Linked DNA regions of Schizosaccharomyces pombe. Changing the gene in region 2 together with the main gene of any one other region gives a genetic interaction. Each region holds a gene or a part of one and is shown on either strand. Other genes may lie near its edges.

Region 1 (5,329 bases), on a different chromosome or scaffold from region 2:
ACACGGGTCACTATGGAGGGCTATCGAGAGGAAGGTACTACTACCACTCCTTTTAATATGATGATGTGTAACAATACCTCTCGTTATCATGTTGCAAGAATGGCTTTGCAACATGCTTTACACAATCCTACCGTGGCCGTTAATTGTAACATGTTGTGTGCCAAATATGCTTGGAAGCTCGAAGAGATTGAAAATTATATTATGGAAAACAAGGATGATCCTCCTGAAATTTATGCTGCTCCTGTCTTTAAAAATAAGACTTCCACATTATAGATAGAAATGGTGCATTCTTTTTGTTTATATAATGATAATTCTACAGAATTTAAATAAAATTACATCTGTTTTTGTGTTAATTAAAACGTTAGCATATCTTGTAGTGTTGGGGTGTACCCAAACATTGGTTGGTGGTATCACTTAGGTAGCTAGCTGACTTGGATTTGCCCGGTCGCGCGCATATTGCAATTGTGTTTTACACGATTTAATATACCAATTCTTATATACATTACTATCAATAGTTTGTGGCTGTATTTAGTAATCGAAACAGTAGAGGCACTAATTGATACCTTACGCTTTTTTGTAGCTCGTCAGTTTTTAACCTCTTCCTCCCCCTCTCAACGCACTCGCATTTTTACTTGTTTTCTATGAAGGTCGTTTTCATTTTTGAAGTTTCTTAATTACTAGCTTTTCGTAAATTCCCTCATTTGCGACTCTTCAGCATTCCCCTACAATATCGGAAATGTGGAACTTGGTATAAACTTCTGAACATTCTATTCCTTGAAGTGAGAAAATCAACCGCTTTTTCCAAACAGAAAAACTTTTTTTTTAATTCTTTTAATGTAAACTGGACAGATTCTAGTGTGTTTATTATATTTTGGTACTGTGTGAGATGAAGACGCACACATATATCCTCTAATTTATCAGGAATTTTCATATCAATTTCAGTATCTGGAGCGTTTCAAGCTCTTTAATCCATTTTTTTTCTAATCCTCAATCTTTTCGAAATACCTCAGTATAACTGAATGTTTGCTTGGTAAATCGGTAAAGTACAAAAGGTTGTTTTCGAACGAATGCACATCTTACATTTTATCGACTTTAAAACGTATCACCTTATTAATCATTAGATTTGAAGGCATTATTTAGAAGCTATTATACACCATCAAAACTTTTCAAGTTCATTGTCGCTTTCTAAACATTTGCTTTCAGATCGCCTTTGTCAACTAAACACTTTTATCTCACCAAATTTCCATAATAGTCATAATGGATGTTGTTTTTGCTCTTGGACATTTCTGTGAGGCCGAGGGGCCTTCCATTATTTTTTGCACTCAAAAATTGCATCGCTCTACCGTTTCAAAATTTTTTGAGCATCCTACATCTAAGCGCTCTATTGGCGTAACGGAGAATGGTAATGATTCACCAGAAGCCTTCAAAAATGAACTCGATAATCGAAACAATGCCGATTCTCAATCTTTACAAAGTTCTACCGAATCACTTTTCAAAGCTGATTCTGAAGATTATTTATGTAAAAAGGTATCGAAAGGACCAGAATCCCCCCGAGTAAACTCATTTCATAACTCATACTCTCGAAATCAAAGCCCTATTTCGAGAAAATCATCTTGTGTTACATGTAGTACTGTTTTACCCCTTGAATTCTCTGTACCTGATGTTCAACCACGACTTTATACAAACTCAAGTACAAACCCCGATGTTTTATACATGTCTAGTCAACATCCACATACTCAGCAACGATATTCTACCCTTAAGCGATTAATGGTTCGCTGCTTGAGCTGTGAATATTCAACACTATCTGAAGCTTCCGATTCTATGTCAAATCCTTTGTTCTTTGGAGACCAAGATAACGGTTACGTTATTAGTCAGTCTTTTTCTTTAAGAGATCCCTCTGCCCGGGGAGGACTTCGAAGATATGCGATTATTGCTACTTGTCCAAATCAGTTAGATTTGATTTTGCGATATAGTTTTATTTCTGAAAAGTTTCTTCATATAGTCCAGTTTCTAAGGATTTCTTCTTTCAATACAAAGAATGACTACTCCTCCTCCCGTTCAAAAACAACAGCCTCCTCTAGCAATGGAACGTTTGCATCCCCCAGTTTTAACATTTCTTCGTTATCGGGTTCTTCAAATATAGGAACTGCTCCTTCGTATGAGATATCCTCTAGTATCGGTGCAAATGTGTCATCTTTGGCCCACACACAAAGACTTCCTTCTTTCAGTTTTTTGCGTCGTCGAGACGATATTGGGGAGGGACGCAGTTTAGTTGATATCACATGTTGGGACGGAATCTTTGTCGGTCTTCACAGTTCGTTTAGCTGGATTCTGGAGGTTTGGGATCTCTTAGTAGTATGAAAGTAAAACTGGTTGACTTTTTACAAATGCTATAGGATGCTGGAATACTTTCAATAGTAAGATGATCGATTAATAATTTAACATTAACATTAGAAATTCTTTAGTAAATGAATACTAAATTTTCAAAAATAAGTTAACAATGAGACTTTAAACATTTTTTTGCACCAGGCATTGCATCTAACTAGTCGAATGTTTCGTCTAACTTGCCAAATGGTTGAAACTTATCTAAATCATCTCGAAGCCCTTGTACGTTAGAAAGATATTTGGATAGGTAAGCTTGTTTCTCAGTCCGCGTTTTCCTGTAGGCAATGACATCTATAGAATATGGTTCAGGGGATAAATAGAAATAGAAAAATTCGAGAATTTGAAATCGGGTGTCCTGACTTGTTTGTTTGTGCTTAAAAACTACGCATATCTGCTGCAAGCCATTAATCTGCTCAAAAAGCCTAATAGCCAGTGGACGATCTGCCATGATACATACAAGCGTTTTCATTGCAGCCACTTGCAACATAGATGGCTGAGATGGCTGTAATAAATGAATAAATAACCTTAAGGTAGCTTTATCTTCAAATAACGTCTGTGATTTTGGATGGATTAAAACCAATCCTTCAATCACATGCAGTAAGTCATCAATTAGCTTTTGAATGAATTGAAAGTTTTTTTCGTATGCCTCTTCATTCTGCTGATATTCAAGGAGACTGTCCAAAGCGTAAATGCAAGGGGTAGTAGAATTATACAATGGTGAATCCTGTAATTTTAGGAAAATTTCTCTTGGAATTTTATCATCATGACTAGGTTTCGCAACATGATATACAATAGATTCGACTTGACGCAAACCAATTCGAATTAGCTTTGGATTCCTCATACACAAATGCTGTTTAGCATTGTTTAATAGATCTTCCATACCGGATCATTATTTACTCATGCCAAGCGGGCAATAAAAATCCTTATTATAAATAAAAGTAAATTGAATCTTCGTTTAGTTAAAGATAAAAAAGAGACTCTATATTCGTTCTTAGTAATGATATAAATAGTAGGGTGGAGTGTTGAAGCAGCTACATTAAATTGCTATTTTCTAAAACTTGAGGTTTTGGGAGAGAAAACACCAGCTTGCTAAGATAGGATACAATTGAATATTAACAGGCGAATTGGAGCCATATTTGAAAAAGGGGCCTAAAATAACAAAACAAGCAACATCGAGTCCTTATAGATTTATATTTAGTTTACGATCAAATCCGCCTAATTTAATTATATTAATATCAATGGGTTTAGTTTGTCTCAAACGGTTGACATGAAAAAATTTAGATATTAAATTAAACAATAGTTATGTATTAATCGTAAAATTATCAAATAACAAAAACTGCAGTTAATTTTGAGCTATTTAAAACAATATAAGATTACACGAAGCTTCGAAGAAGCTATGAAATAAAACAATTAGAATGCACTAATTAACAGTTTCGATGGAGAAATAACACATGAAGTGCATACAAAATGCAAGGAAATTAACTAGAGACACCATTCACGGAAAAGTATAGAGGCTTTTCCTAGAGTGCGAATGAAAGTAGAGAAATGAGACAGAAAAGATTATGAAGATAGTTAAGGAAAAATTCATCTAAAACATAAGTGACTGTAGATTGTTGGACATAATCGTATCTTGAACGGATACCATTACCCTTTGGAGCAAACTAGTGTCTGTAGCTGTGGTAAAATGGCAATAGCAACTACGAGAAGCGATGCGATTAAGACTTTCAAACTTTAAGTAAAAGTAATACATACCGCTTCGAACTGCGTTGTCGGCAAGAGGGCATTGAGTTTGTACGAATGTTGGTGTTGAACCAACTTCTTGGTAATCAGGAAAATGCTTCTGGATGGGGGAAATGTGAACCTTTCTTTTAAATAAATCAAGTTTATTTAGAAAAAGTATCATTGCTGATTCTGAAAACCAGCTAGAGTTACATATGGAATCCCATAATAATAACGCCTCCTGCATCTGATTTCCTGAATTGTCCTCTACAAGGCATTGATCGTAACCTGCCAAAGAAACGAGAAACAACAATGCAGTGACATTTTCAAAGCAATGAATCCATTTTCTGCGCTCTGATCTCTGTCCTCCTACATCAAAAAATCGGTAATGATGACGATTTAACAGAAATGTTTCTTCTGATATACCGGTCGTCTTGATACGACAGTGAAGGATATCTTGATCAGAAGGTATATATTGTGGGTCAAAAATTCGATCAATGTGATCTTGATAGTAATAAAAATTGTCTAACAAAGAGAGGTTGGTACCACAACTTTGCACCGTACGAAGTTTGGTATCCAATGTCAAGGCATGAACAGCTTCATATATTTCTGGAGAAAATGGCTCATTGGGTTGAGAAGTGTGTTTTCTTAGGATAACTGCCCGATACTTCTCATTTTCCGGAAGTAAAGAGACATTACTATTATCCATAGCTTCAAGAAGAAGACATAGAGAGGAGATGATATTTTCAAAAATCATCACTCGATACTGCTTTCTAACTACTTGACTAAAACCGGGGCTATACAATAATCTCATCTGCTTCATAATGGTCGTTTTCCCACTATCACCGGCGCCTAAGAGCAAAACTTTAATGTCATTTCCACCTGAAGTAGAATTTCCTTTTACGCGTACTCCAGAACTTTCCACATTTTGTGGTTTTCCACGCAGGACGATATTAAGCCAGTTTTCAAGGACTGGAACTCGAGCGTTTTGACTTCCAGTTGTAGAGCTGTTTGAGGTTTGCGTATCTGAAAGCTTCTTTTGAATGACTTCTCCTCCTGATGTATCAGCGTATTTACTCGACATGCATCCCATGGTGAAAAGGCAGCTACAGATTCCAAATCCCCACAAGGAGATAATTCAAAGTCGAGACAAAGAAAGTTAATCTCCGCAATTTTCTGTAAAAACAGCAGAAAAGGTGATAAATAAGGATTTTTGGATTAAAAA
Region 2 (4,294 bases):
CTAAAGTTCCTCGCAATTTTAAAAAAAGTAAATCAATTTCAACTTAATAGGGAAAGGACGGGATTACTATTATACAGTTTTTGTTGGAAATATTTTATTCACCTAGACTATACTAATATTTATAAAAGGATTAAGTGTTTGCTTATCAATGTATCCTAAAAATTCTTGTATGTAAGCTTAAGTTGGGTGTTACAATAAAAATACATCTAACCAAGTTGTTACAGTACTTGTTTAGCAATTTAAGATGGGTTCATTTAGAAGCAAAAGTCGATATTATTATGTAAATTGATATGTGTAGCAGAAGTATATGGAAATGATGAGCAAATGATAAATCCTAATGACAACTAAACAATGCAAGTACCCATCTTATATAAGAGTGAAATAAAACAGATCGCATAAATCGACAAATTGTAATTAAGCTTAACAGATGGTTAAAGTTGCATGCAGTCAAAGTGGAATAGATCGCAACTTTTGATTAACAAAGAATCAATATGCAAAACTCAAAAAAAAAAAAAGAGAAACAATATGCTTAAAAAATTTGGACCTAAAGTCCTTGCAAGGTATTGATGAATAATGATAAAATGAAGACGAGAAAATGCTAGATGAGCTATTTGCCATACATTAGATTATTACCCCAACTGGGACTGGCGTGGACTTCGTTATGTCCACCAGTATGATTAAGCAAAGAGTCTGTATTGTAATTATTCATGGAACCAGAGTGAAGGTTACGAACGTTTCCATTATGGTTGTTATGCGATGAACTTGATGAGCGCACTCCCAATGGGTTCTTCGAAAAACTCAAACGAATACCACCTTTAATGCTACTGCTAAGACAAACACCTTGTAAATTCTTCAAGGCTTCCATGGCGTATGGAATGTTTTCAAATTCAACAAAACACATGGGGCCATTGCCTTTAGTGCGGAAACAAAGTCTTTTGTATCCAACTTGAGTGGAAAACAAAACTTTCAACTCTTCCTCGGAAGTAGAAGGAGGAAGATTTCCAACATAAATGGTGTTACAAGGAGGATTTTGATCAGCAGGGTTGGTATTCGTGGGGGTAGAAGCAGGGATGCGTTGATGAATTCCATGACTGGAGGAATAAGCCGAAAATGGTGTGGAAGGTGAAATGGTAGAAGCTGAAAATGGGTAGTCTCTTGATGTTGATGGTGTCAAGGGAGGAGGGCTTGTTGTACTGAATGCACTGTTTGCCGAAAAGACACGAGGATGGGGTGATTGAGCACTAGAATTTTGGGTATGAGCGCTATAACCCTTTTCAGATGAAAGGTAATTGCGCGCCACGTTGGTGTTAATAGATAATGAGTTAAATCGCAAAATCGGAGGAACACCGTCTTGACGCAAATTGGTACTACTTTTGGAAGGAGTGGGTGACCACGTAGGTGAACCAACTTCATCCTTGGCTAACACATTCGCGAGTGTTAAAGGATAAGAAACAGGGAAAGAAGACCACAACCTATCGGAATGCAAACTACCTCCATTGTTAGGAGCCTGAAAAGTGCTATCACCCAAAGGTGTTTTTGAATGACGATAAGCAGATTCCGAATGATTTGCAGTAGGCATACTGGCTGACACATGATTACTTGACCTGCGGAAAAGATCACGATTTCCTAACAGTGGACGAGTTGGAGAATGGTTTCGAGACAGTCTGTTAAATGAAACACTACTCTCAGAGCCCTCAGTTTCGTCGCTAAGATTTGTTTGACTTCCCTTTCGATAATTGTCTAAAATTATCATGCTGCACGCGGAATAAACATCGCTAGATAGCAAAGTGTCTCTAGCAGATGCAGCAGCATCTCGGGATGAAAACACCGCCAATCCATGAGCAACTTCATTATCCACGGATACAGGATTAAGCTCGACGGATACTACATTCGTAGCGAATAAAAAGGTACATAAAAACTCTCTGGGTGTTAAGTCCCTAGGTAAATCCTCAATCCGCAAAGCATAATATCTAGGAAAACCGAATCCAACCTTAGGAGGAGCAGAGGCTAATCCACCGTTGAGGTTAGAGAGGAGTCTACCAATCGGAGTTGTGGATTTTTCCACAGATGCATAAGTAGGTAAACCGTCAGATTCAGCTTTCCCAGCTTGGCTGTGAATAGCCTGAGGAGACATGTGAAGAGCATGACATTCATCATCTCCATTCAGAATACCGGTTGGAACCAACGATGAACCACGTAGCGCATCTTCAGTAAACTCGGTTTCGTCCCCGACTTTGGTCTTACTGGATAACGATAAAGGCTTTTCAATAGCGCTCGGTGATCCCACAAACATTTTGCAAATTATATATAATGGTAATTGAAAAGAAGAGAAAAAAGAATGACAAAGTGGTTGATAAAGTAACCAAAATAAGCAATAGATGCCTAAAAGTAAAACACAAATGAAATAGCAGTAGTTGTTAAATAAACCCCAAACGATAATAAATGAGGCTTCAAGCTTAATAACACGAAATAGTTAATAAGTGGAGTAAAAAGTTAGAAACCTAGTTGGTCGACTAAAAAGAAAGTGTGTAAGTAATAAAAATAAGCAAGGGCAATGAAGAAAAATAAAAAATTCAGTAAAAATTGTTAGCAAGTATTAGAAAAATCCAAATACTTGACGCGAAAGAATTAGAAGGGCAACAACCTAGAATACTGGACGAAGATAATAAAAGAAAGACTGTAACTTCAAGAAAACGAGAGCAAAGGGTAAACTGTTGACCACCACAAATAATTCTAGTTGCTAAAAGAGAGACAGATACAACTGTGAAGCAAAAAACACAAACTGAAAATGAAAAAAAGATGACTGAAATATGCAAAAATACCGAGCTAACAAAAAGTCTAGGGCAAGGCTTATGAGGAAGAAATCGTCAAAAGTATCGATAAAAAGACTTCGAAGGTATTCGAAATGCTTAAAAAAATCAGTTAGCGATTTTTTTTTTTTCAAAAAAAAAGAAATGGTTGCAGATGGAAAAATAAAATAAACAATCAACTTTTCAATCAGCAGAGTATAAACAAATATACAAACAAGTAAACAAAAGACACTTGTTTTTTTTTGGAGAGGTAAATCAAAGGAAAGCAATCGGGCAAAAAGTGAGAAGCAAATAAAATATACCGCTATCAACAAAGAGTAAATATCCAACAACAAGAACAATCAAGATAGAAGTAAAATTGCTGGGAAGATTGGCAAAACGTAAGCAAAAGAAGTATGAACACGGTTTATAAAGGAGCGAAGAATGAAAGGAAAAGCAAAATAAAAGAAGCTTTTCTAAGTAACGTTAAATAAGAGAGATCAAGTTAAAAGAAAAAAGGCAAAAAGATTCCAAGAAATTTCAAATAAAAAGAAAAAAACTAAGAAGTAAAGTGAATATGAAATCTTTGTGAAAAAATGATTGAAACTTGATCAAAATAATAATAAGGCATAAAATAGGGTCAGAAGAAAAAACAAAGAGGGAAGAAAGAGAAAAAAAAAAGAAAAAGAATAAAACAAAAAAGGTAACCCACACAAAAACGAAGAGACTAAATATTATATAAATGTCACAAAACTTTGTATGAACAAAAAGATGGGCAAAAAAAAAGACCAAACGTTTAATAAGCAAATACCCTTAAGTAATGAGTAAAAGGCGGAAGAAATGAATCAACGAAATCAAACGAGTGAATAAAATTTCGAAAAAAAAAAAAATAAGGAGCCGGGTATCTGAATGAAAACGAATCGTGACTATTTTATGGATTGAGAATAGGGAAATCCTAAAAACACAAAATTGTTTAGTGGGGATAGAAATGGATAGATATGAAAATGAAATGAATAATGAAAGGAGGTCGAATAAAAACCCAGTTGAAAAACTATTTATGGCCAAAATTCAACAAAGCAACAAATGGCTAAAGTTCAATGAAAGGGTACAGAAAAATAAAAAAGAAAAGTAAGACTTTCAACACACACGTTGTGCTTCCGAAACGGATATAATTTTCCTTGTCGTGCAGGCTGAGTCAACGAGCCCCTAAGATGAAAAAATGAGAATTTCCGTAAAAACAATGAAAAGAAAATATTTAATAGGGAGAAACCGAGGAACGCAATAAATAGCAAAACAACCAAGACTGAGAATGCAAAAAAGAAAAAAGAAAAACAAGCGTTATTAGATGAATGAAAGGACAATCGAAAACTAATCCAAATAATAATGGAGATGATAACAGTAAATATCAAATTTCTGCTATTCTGCTATGTTTCCGGCTTAAATCTTTTTTTTTGCACTACAAAAAGCGTTTTCTTGCCTACTGCGACTGTTTTCCTGGTGGTTGG
Region 3 (4,066 bases), on a different chromosome or scaffold from region 2:
ATGCAAACATCTTGTTAAAGCTTTATTGTAATTTTTAAGAATGACAGCACGTAAATTACGATTAAACATTGTTTTGGTGCGATTGCAATGTAGTAAATAAAGTTCCTAATATACTTTTATATGAGTAAATTTCAATTTCGGCTTTTCGAAGCCACTCAATATTTCTCGTCGTTGACAAAGGCGAATTTAGAAAGTGGCGGATTGTTATACTGGTGGACGTTTATAAGTACTGGTATATCAAACGAGTTTACTTTCACAAAACGCAACATAAATACGATACGTAGCAGTAGGTGATAATTTAACTAAATTAATAGTTTATTGAATTTACAAATCTCACTGCATCTTTTGGTTCTACTTTTGGGAATTGACACTTAAGTATTAGACTTGCTTTATACATTTACTTTGTAATAGTCAAATATCTAAGCATATATTAGGGAATAGTAAATAGCTTTAATTCGTACGGTTTGGACTTACAAAAGTACTTTACAGACTTACTCGTGTTTATAGTACATTTCCACCTTGGTAGCCAGGCTAAAGCTATATTTAGAGTGTAAGGAGCATTTCAAAGCTATGAAAAAAAGTAAAGAGCGTTTAGCACAGACGATGCTTGGAATCCATATGCATCGGAGTAAAATAAAGCATTTCAATGAATGTAGGAAAAAAGGAACGTAGATAAACACTATTTGAAAATATATGGCACACTTGGATTATAAAAAGGGTTATAAGGGTTTAATACTCGAGAGGCTCCTTCTCTTCTTCAATTTCATAATCTTCATCACCCTCATCGATACCAGCCTCCTGGTATTGTTGATATTCGCTAACCAAGTCATTCATATTAGATTCAGCCTCAGTAAACTCCATTTCGTCCATGCCTTCACCAGTATACCAATGCAAAAAGGCTTTTCTTCTAAACATTGCAGAAAACTGATCACCCAAACGACGGAAAATTTCTTGGATAGAAGTACTGTTACCAATAAAAGTTGCAGACATCTTGAGATCCTTAGGAGGAACGGAACAAACAGCTTTGAGGACTATTTCGAGGTTAGCAGATGAGCATAAACAAGTAGAAAAAATAAACTAAATATACAAACGACGTTTTAAACCAAGTAAACATACCATTATCGGGAATCCACTCAACGAAATATGCTGAATTCTTAGTTTGAACAGAGCGAATTTGCTCGTCGACTTCTTTCATTGAGACTTTACCACGGAAAAGAGCGGCAACTGTTAAGTAACGGCCATGGCGAGGATCAGCGGCGACCATCATATTATTAGCATCAAACATTTGTTGAGTAAGCTCGGGCACAGAAACAGCTTGAAATGAGCTTGAACCGATGGCGGCAAGAGGAGCAAATCCTACCATGAAAAAGTGTAAACGAGGGAAGGGAACCATATTAACAGCTAATTTACGCAAGTCAGAGTTCAATTCACCAGGGAATCGGAAAGATGTGGTTACACCAGCCATTACAGCAGAGACAAGATGGTTCAAGTCATCGTATGAAGGACTCTTGATTTTCAACGTGTTAGCGAAAATTGAAGAAAGAGCCTCATTATCAATGCAAAATGTTTCGTCAGAGTTCTCTACCAATTGATGCATAGAAAGAGTAGCATTGTAAGGTTCCACAACGGTATCAGAGCTTTTAGGAGCAGGAGCAACGGAGAAGGTAGCCATCATACGGTCCGGATATTCCTCGCGAATCTTCGAAAGTAAAAGAGTACCCATACCAGATCCAGTACCACCACCCAAAGAGTGAGTTAATTGGAAACCTTGTAAAGCATCACATGCTTCAGCTTCACGGCGAACAACGTCCAAAACAGCATCGGCCAATTCAGCACCTTCAGTGTAATGGCCTTTAGCCCAAATATTTCCGGCACCAGATTGTCCATAAATAATATTGTCCGGGCGGAAAAGATTTCCAAACTTTCCTGACTTCACGGCATCCATAGTACCGGGCTCTAAATCAACAAGGACTGCGCGGGGAACATACTTTCCACCAGCGGCCTACAGTCGTCAGTACTAAATAAACAAAAAAAAATTTTTTCAAAAAGTTTTAAGCAACCGAACACTTGTAAGAAAGCAAAAAAACCTACCTCGTTAAAATAAACGTTCAATCGCTCGTGTTGTGCCTCAGAAGTTCCATGATATCTACGTAAAAGTCAGTAAAAAAACAAGCAAAATAGACCTACATTCCAGCTGAATCCAAACCATGCTCATCAGCAATGGTAGACCTTCCAAGCGTTAGTTGAGAGAAACGTTATAACAAAGTAGATTTTGCTTACCAAAAGGCCGCACCGACTTGGTTTCCGCATTGACCAGCTTGAATATGAACCTATTGATTAGCTTTGAATATTAAAATAGCTCGTACAATCTCACGCATCTAGACTAATTTATGGTGGTTTGTTTTGATGATCAGTTTGGTGGTAGGTGAGTTTCGTTAGGAGGAACGGATTGAGAATACCAAAAGTACCAAATCGTTTTTATACGTTTCAGAAATTCTAAAAACACAGTTTATTGCAGTTATTTACTAGTAGGCTTTTAAAAAAAATTTTTGTGTATTTATTAGCCGATTGTTAATTGAAAAGAATCAAGTCTTAAATCATTGCTTATTAAATAGTTTACTTCTTTTATATACAAGCTTTTTTTCTTTTCTTTGGTAATGTATGTAACTTTATTTATTCTTTAGTTTATATACATAATTATTAACTGCTAAACAGATTAATTTGATATTATGCCATATTCAGTAGTAGCGCAAAATAGTATGGTTAGAATTGTTTGTGTTTATCCTATCAATTGATATAAAAATGAAATGAAACTTATAACTGCACGTTAGTATCAATGTCATTTTCCGTACATATTCAATTGACTTTATTTAAGCCAGCATGCATTGATTTAATAATTTCCCGTATTAGCGAACCTATTACTTAAAACTTCTCCCATATCAAACATTACTTTTACAAGTAAATGTAAAACAACACATTCAAGAATACGGCATATATGCAAAAAAAATTATTTATATATTAATTCAAAAAGTAATAGCTAGTAACCATCAACACCTAAAGATTTTTAAAACCCGAAGAAAAACCGCAACCGAAAACCAAATCCCAAAATATAAGCTCTAAGCAACAATAGCTTTTTTCGTAAGTTGAAAACTCTCAAAAATCATTAAGGTCAAATTCTTTGGCCCACTCAGTAACGATTTGAGTATCCTGAACTTCAGATGAGTTCTTTTCGTTTATAACCTCAGGCTCGGCCCACCATTCGATACGACCAGCATGCCAGTCATTAATGACAATATTGGCAGCAGCGTTAAGATTTGGAATTCCACCGCGACCTAGACGACCACGCTTACGAGCAATATTGACTAAAAAATCAGTAGCAGTGTCTATATCGGATGTATTCAATAGAGGAGGAAGCTCATATCTTTGAAACATTCTTTCCAATTGTCCTGGAACTCTGCTAAGGAATTGCAAAATGTAAGAAGCAACGGCAACGGGATCATCAACTTTGGTGGATGAAACAGCATTAAGCATTACAAGACGATACAAATCGTCTTTAGAATCACTAGAAGGAAAAACAATACCAGGACTATCGACCAAACGTAATTTGTTATCTAGCTTCACCTCTCGCAAAGAAGTAGTCATTCCGGCAACGTTTCCGGCAGGACAAGGTGCAGAACGACCATTCGCAGAACGGTTGACAAGAGCGTTAATAACAGATGATTTACCAACGTTGGGGTATCCAATTACACCGACTGTAAGAGAGCTTTTAAGCTTCTTCTTGGCTGAGTAAGACTTGAGTGATTTAAGAAGATTGGAGATAGTGGAACTAGCAGAAGCCGACTGGTGCTTTAAATTTGAGTTTCCAGATCCTGAAGCGGAACGCATAGGAATCGTAGGAAAGAAATTGCGGAGATAGGTAACCCACTTGTTGAGTACTTCTGATGGTACTAAGTCAATTTTGTTGATAACGAAAATAAGACGCTTTTCTTCAGCAGAAGATGCTAAAACTTGACGTTCAACGTCTTTTGAACGAGTCCCTTCAGGATCACGAGCGTCAAGAACGTAA
Region 4 (3,944 bases), on a different chromosome or scaffold from region 2:
AACAGCTATCAATTCCTCCAAGGTTAAGTTGTTAAGAAGTGCTTTAGCGAGGTTATCTTTGTTTGATAGCACGACATCCCGAGAAGCGTTGCTTTTAGCTTTTGTTCCCGAGGATTTTGATTCACTCTTTAAAACCTTGGGCAACCTAGTAGTAGACTCTAACCTTGCATCTGTTAAGTTTAATTTGGAAACGTACATTTACTGTTTGTCTGTTGTTCTCGATGCAATGGGTGTTGGAGGCGTTGCATCGAGTTCTGAAAACTTAGAGGCTGCGAGGATTCTCTACAATGATTTACAGGAAAAGCTAACGAATTTAACAGCTATGTCGCTTGTTCTCCCTGCAATTTCCGAAATTGTTAAGCGTAAAAAAGACGTACATGCTGAACGAGTGCAGTTCTACGCCAATCCACAACCTAAAGCAATTGTGGATGACATGGGTGATCTTGCGACTTTACTGAAAAAAGATTTTCTTTCCGAAAAAAGAAAAGGTAAAAGCCAACGTGCCCGTGGTAAAGAAATTGACATGGCTATTGGAAAATATACAGTTGAACGTTTAGAAATATAATTAGAAAAACAGGTTTATTTGTGAAATACATATAGGGGTTATTTTTTTGGAATAAAAATCTATCAAAAATTAATTTAAATAATGTTTGTACATAAAGGGACAGTATACCACATTCAAAGATATTTCAGACCTTGTTTTCAACTGCAAAGCTATATCAACTAAAAGTTTGATAAAACAAAAGACTGGTAAAGATCACTTTTAATTAGACAGATTTCGTTCAAACAAAAAACCAAAAGTTGCAGAGATCGTGGTTATAATTCATTAAATATTTTGACAGAGAGTTGAGTAAATGAATATGTCGTTAAAACCAAAAGCAAGGGAAAAGGTAGCAATACTTAAATGACACAAAAATTCGGGAAAATAAACATGATAAAGGAGTGTGGGTAAAATCAGAGTAAAAAAAAAAAGAAAGAGATGGTAAAGCATTAAAAATCAGCGATCGATGTATTCCAAAATAGGATCTCCAACGTTTTTTATTTCAGGAATAGTACATTTTAAGTCAAACACCTTAGCCAAAACAATTTTGAATATCTAAAAATCGTCAATATAGTATATCAACTGATATTATACCTTTTGCACATTAATAGAGTGTGAAGTAGAACAAAATACCAAGCTTGCCTTCATGGCCTTTGCATAACGACGTGCCTAACCAAGTTAATAATACGACTTCTAGTAATTTTTGTACCTGTTTGGTAATCTCTTCTTGATCTTCACGAGGAAATGTCATGAAATGATCGTATTTTGTTCCAATCAATATAGGGACAGCGGTCTGAAAGCGTTAGTAACTAAGTTAGAGATATACTGAGTACGATAAAAAGTAATCTAATGAAGTTTAGCCACGAACAGAGGTTATCGGTTCTAAAAACAAAATCAAAACAACCCGGACGTGCATAAACGTATATCGGAACGAAAGAACTCATACCTTATTGAAACCGCGAGCTTGACGATACCATTCTTTGATAGAATTTAATGTGGATTTCCTTGAAAGATCGAACATAAAGAGAATTGCAACGGCATCGTTACAAACCATCGGTAGCATGTTTACAAATTCTCGCTGACCTCCAAGGTCCCAAATTGAAAAGGTAATTTCAGTGTTTCGAATGCTTATTGTTTTCTCCATAAAATTCACTCCTAAGTTTGTTAAGTTAGAAATCTCCCAATAAAGGTAAATATTTACCAAGCGTTTGTGTGCTTTCCTCATCAAATGAGCCCTGAACATAAGTTACCATAAGAGATGTTTTGCCAATTGAACTATCTCCAATCATTCCGACTTTTATCGTGACGTTATTTTTTCTAGCATCTGCCATTCTTTAAAACTCCTATCCTCTGATATTACTCTGCTTGAACCCCGGCAGTAGATGAACAATTTCCCTTTGCATAGGATAAGAAGCCTCGTTCGTGTTATAATATATATATTGGCTTATTATGAATAGCGTATTATGACATAGCTTGCTACGTCGTGTTACGTTGACTTGTACATATATTTTTTTAAGCAATGGAAAGAATGCTGGTAATATATTAGTTTGTAAATTAAAACGAGAAAAGATCTTTATTTATAATAAGTAATTATAAAAAAGCTAGTTATTATAACTGGTGGGTTTACAGTAAATTGTAGTTTTGATTATTTGCTATCGATAATGTAAAATTCCATAACTGTTTGTGCTAATTATTGAGCCAAATGAGATGCGTTGTTAATTGCTCTTGGAATTATTCGTAATTCTTGTACTCATAAGTTTGTTCGGGACTATTTTTTCTGGGTTTTACTCGCATTGCAACGGAATTCGGGTTCTTACCAGGGATTGTGGTACCGAGCCGCCAGGTGTTTATGAAGCCATAATATGATAAAGGTACTAAAATTGTTCATATACTGATAATTAGAAGTTACACTAAGACTGAACGTTAACATGGCAGTGTCATTTTTAAAATGCTTGACGACCAGAACAAGCCAGTAATAATTAATATATTAAGTCAACCAAATGCCTCTAAACATTATCATAATTAACAATATGACAAATATGGTCAGCATTTATTTTTCTGTTTCATTTTGCACACCTTAGCTTTTACTGTTTAATGCGTCAACTGGATTCATCTGAAATTAATGAATATATCAGTTGAGAAGCGCATTGTAGGTTTCAACATTGAAATATTGTAGGTAATCAAATGCCAGTAAAAATTCAAAGGGAATTTCCAACATTATATTCAAATTCAAGTTTTAATTGTAGTTTTGATTTCGTTCTTTATTCCCTCATATTCCAAGGAGTAAGGACCCTTTTGAACTTGACTTTCGAATTCAGAAATTACAGGATTGTCGCACTTCAACTTCATTGTAAACAAAACTCTCAAAGCAGAACGAACCAAATCAAGGATATTATCGCTATCTGTCTTTAAAGTCTTTTCAGTTTTTCTAAGCTCTATAATTTTTCGTAATGCTTCCAAAATAGTGTCTACTTGCTCGTCTATAATTGAAGGGCTGCAGTCGACAAGTTTTTCCAAGATTGACAAAGATACTAGCTTAATATAATGTTCATCTTCTAACCCCATGACAGAAACCTGTAAAAAATGGGTTAAATGATTCAAAGATTCAGGGATATCCAGTAAGGAATAAAGTGTTTCAAATACTAGCTGCCGTTGATTTATTGAATTATCAACCACATGTTGGAAAGGGCCCATTTGTACAACATGAACGTTACTAGAATCAACTGATGATTTGGAAATTAAGCCTTGTAAAAGTTCATTATAAACGTCTGCAATGCAAGAACGCCTATTTTTTATCACAGATATTATGACCTGCAACGTTTCTTGACTAACTTCGAGGTCTGGATTTTGAAATAGCTTATACGCCTTTTCAAAAAATTGTTTCTCATAAGCTTTCAGTTTAGGACAGTCCAATGTCAACGAAAAACGAAACACCGAAAGAGATAAAAGCATATGATTTGAAGCTTCACTGGAGGATAAAAGTTCTAGCTTATAATATAAGCTAGAAGATTCATTACAAATTAAAAGACCAAGACATTCAGATAAAAGAGTTCTGAAGGGAGAAGTGGAAAAGTCTTTAATGTTTTCAATGTCCTTAGAAAGGATATCCCATATTTTATCTGCTGTTTCATAATCGATTTTTGATTTCTTAAGAAAAGTTAAAAAGGAAATTAATAAAAGTTCTTTATCATAAGCATCTGAGACGTATAAAGCACATAATTCTTTTATGAATTTTTCACTTTGACTAGTAAGCGACCCTAAGGCAATAGCTGCTGCTTTCATAACATCTGCATTCGGCGAGTTTAAATTACTTGCAATCGTATCAAAGTACTCATTTGCAGGAAGTGTTAGCTTCCCGTAATCAAGCTGTCCAAAAATTAAAGTTGTGAAAACTTTTATCCGT

The links.
Region 1: of scw1 (region 2) and cdc14, a mutation in one rescues a mutant of the other (synthetic rescue), as found in Schizosaccharomyces pombe (2 studies listed by BioGRID).
Region 3: of scw1 (region 2) and nda3, changing one suppresses a phenotype caused by changing the other (phenotypic suppression), as found in Schizosaccharomyces pombe (one study listed by BioGRID).
Region 4: of scw1 (region 2) and spg1, a mutation in one rescues a mutant of the other (synthetic rescue), as found in Schizosaccharomyces pombe (2 studies listed by BioGRID).

The regions. Positions count from the first base shown.
Region 1 is NC_003423.3:2,330,206-2,335,534, reverse strand, and holds cdc14 (SIN component Cdc14), read right to left. Parts: upstream 3,410-5,329; 5' UTR 3,266-3,409; coding exon 2,543-3,265; 3' UTR 2,362-2,542; coding exon of another isoform or gene 1,258-2,361; 3' UTR 506-1,257; downstream 1-505. Other genes in the region: SPOM_SPBC24C6.09C (phosphoketolase family protein), read left to right, coding at 1-273; folliculin bhd1, read left to right, coding at 1,258-2,361; gpa1 (G-protein alpha subunit), read right to left, coding at 3,974-5,197. UniProt on the Schizosaccharomyces pombe protein: Has a role in the septation initiation network (SIN) required for cytokinesis.
Region 2 is NC_003421.2:671,475-675,768, reverse strand, and holds scw1 (RNA-binding protein Scw1), read right to left. Parts: upstream 2,294-4,294; coding exon 608-2,293; 3' UTR 518-607; downstream 1-517. Other genes in the region: p21-activated protein kinase inhibitor Skb15, read left to right, coding at 1-4; SPOM_SPCC16C4.21 (uncharacterized protein), read right to left, coding at 4,214-4,294.
Region 3 is NC_003423.3:3,963,547-3,967,612, forward strand, and holds nda3 (tubulin beta Nda3), read right to left. Parts: upstream 2,428-4,066; 5' UTR 2,379-2,427; coding exon 2,367-2,378; intron 2,331-2,366; coding exon 2,281-2,330; intron 2,230-2,280; coding exon 2,188-2,229; intron 2,147-2,187; coding exon 2,092-2,146; intron 2,003-2,091; coding exon 1,117-2,002; intron 1,032-1,116; coding exon 730-1,031; 3' UTR 546-729; downstream 1-545. Other genes in the region: protein Sdh8, read right to left, coding at 1-69; GTPase Grn1, read right to left, coding at 3,154-4,066. UniProt on the Schizosaccharomyces pombe protein: Tubulin is the major constituent of microtubules, a cylinder consisting of laterally associated linear protofilaments composed of alpha- and beta-tubulin heterodimers.
Region 4 is NC_003424.3:1,299,147-1,303,090, forward strand, and holds spg1 (GTPase Spg1), read right to left. Parts: upstream 1,945-3,944; 5' UTR 1,873-1,944; coding exon 1,743-1,872; exon of another isoform or gene 1,697-1,742; coding exon 1,488-1,696; exon of another isoform or gene 1,335-1,487; coding exon 1,251-1,334; exon of another isoform or gene 1,211-1,250; coding exon 1,136-1,210; exon of another isoform or gene 1,097-1,135; coding exon 998-1,096; 3' UTR 566-997; downstream 1-565. Other genes in the region: protein Utp8, read left to right, coding at 1-565; knd1 (cullin-associated NEDD8-dissociated protein 1), read right to left, coding at 2,771-3,944. UniProt on the Schizosaccharomyces pombe protein: GTP-binding protein essential for the induction of septum formation at G2 and pre-START stages of mitosis. Acts via the cdc7 protein kinase pathway.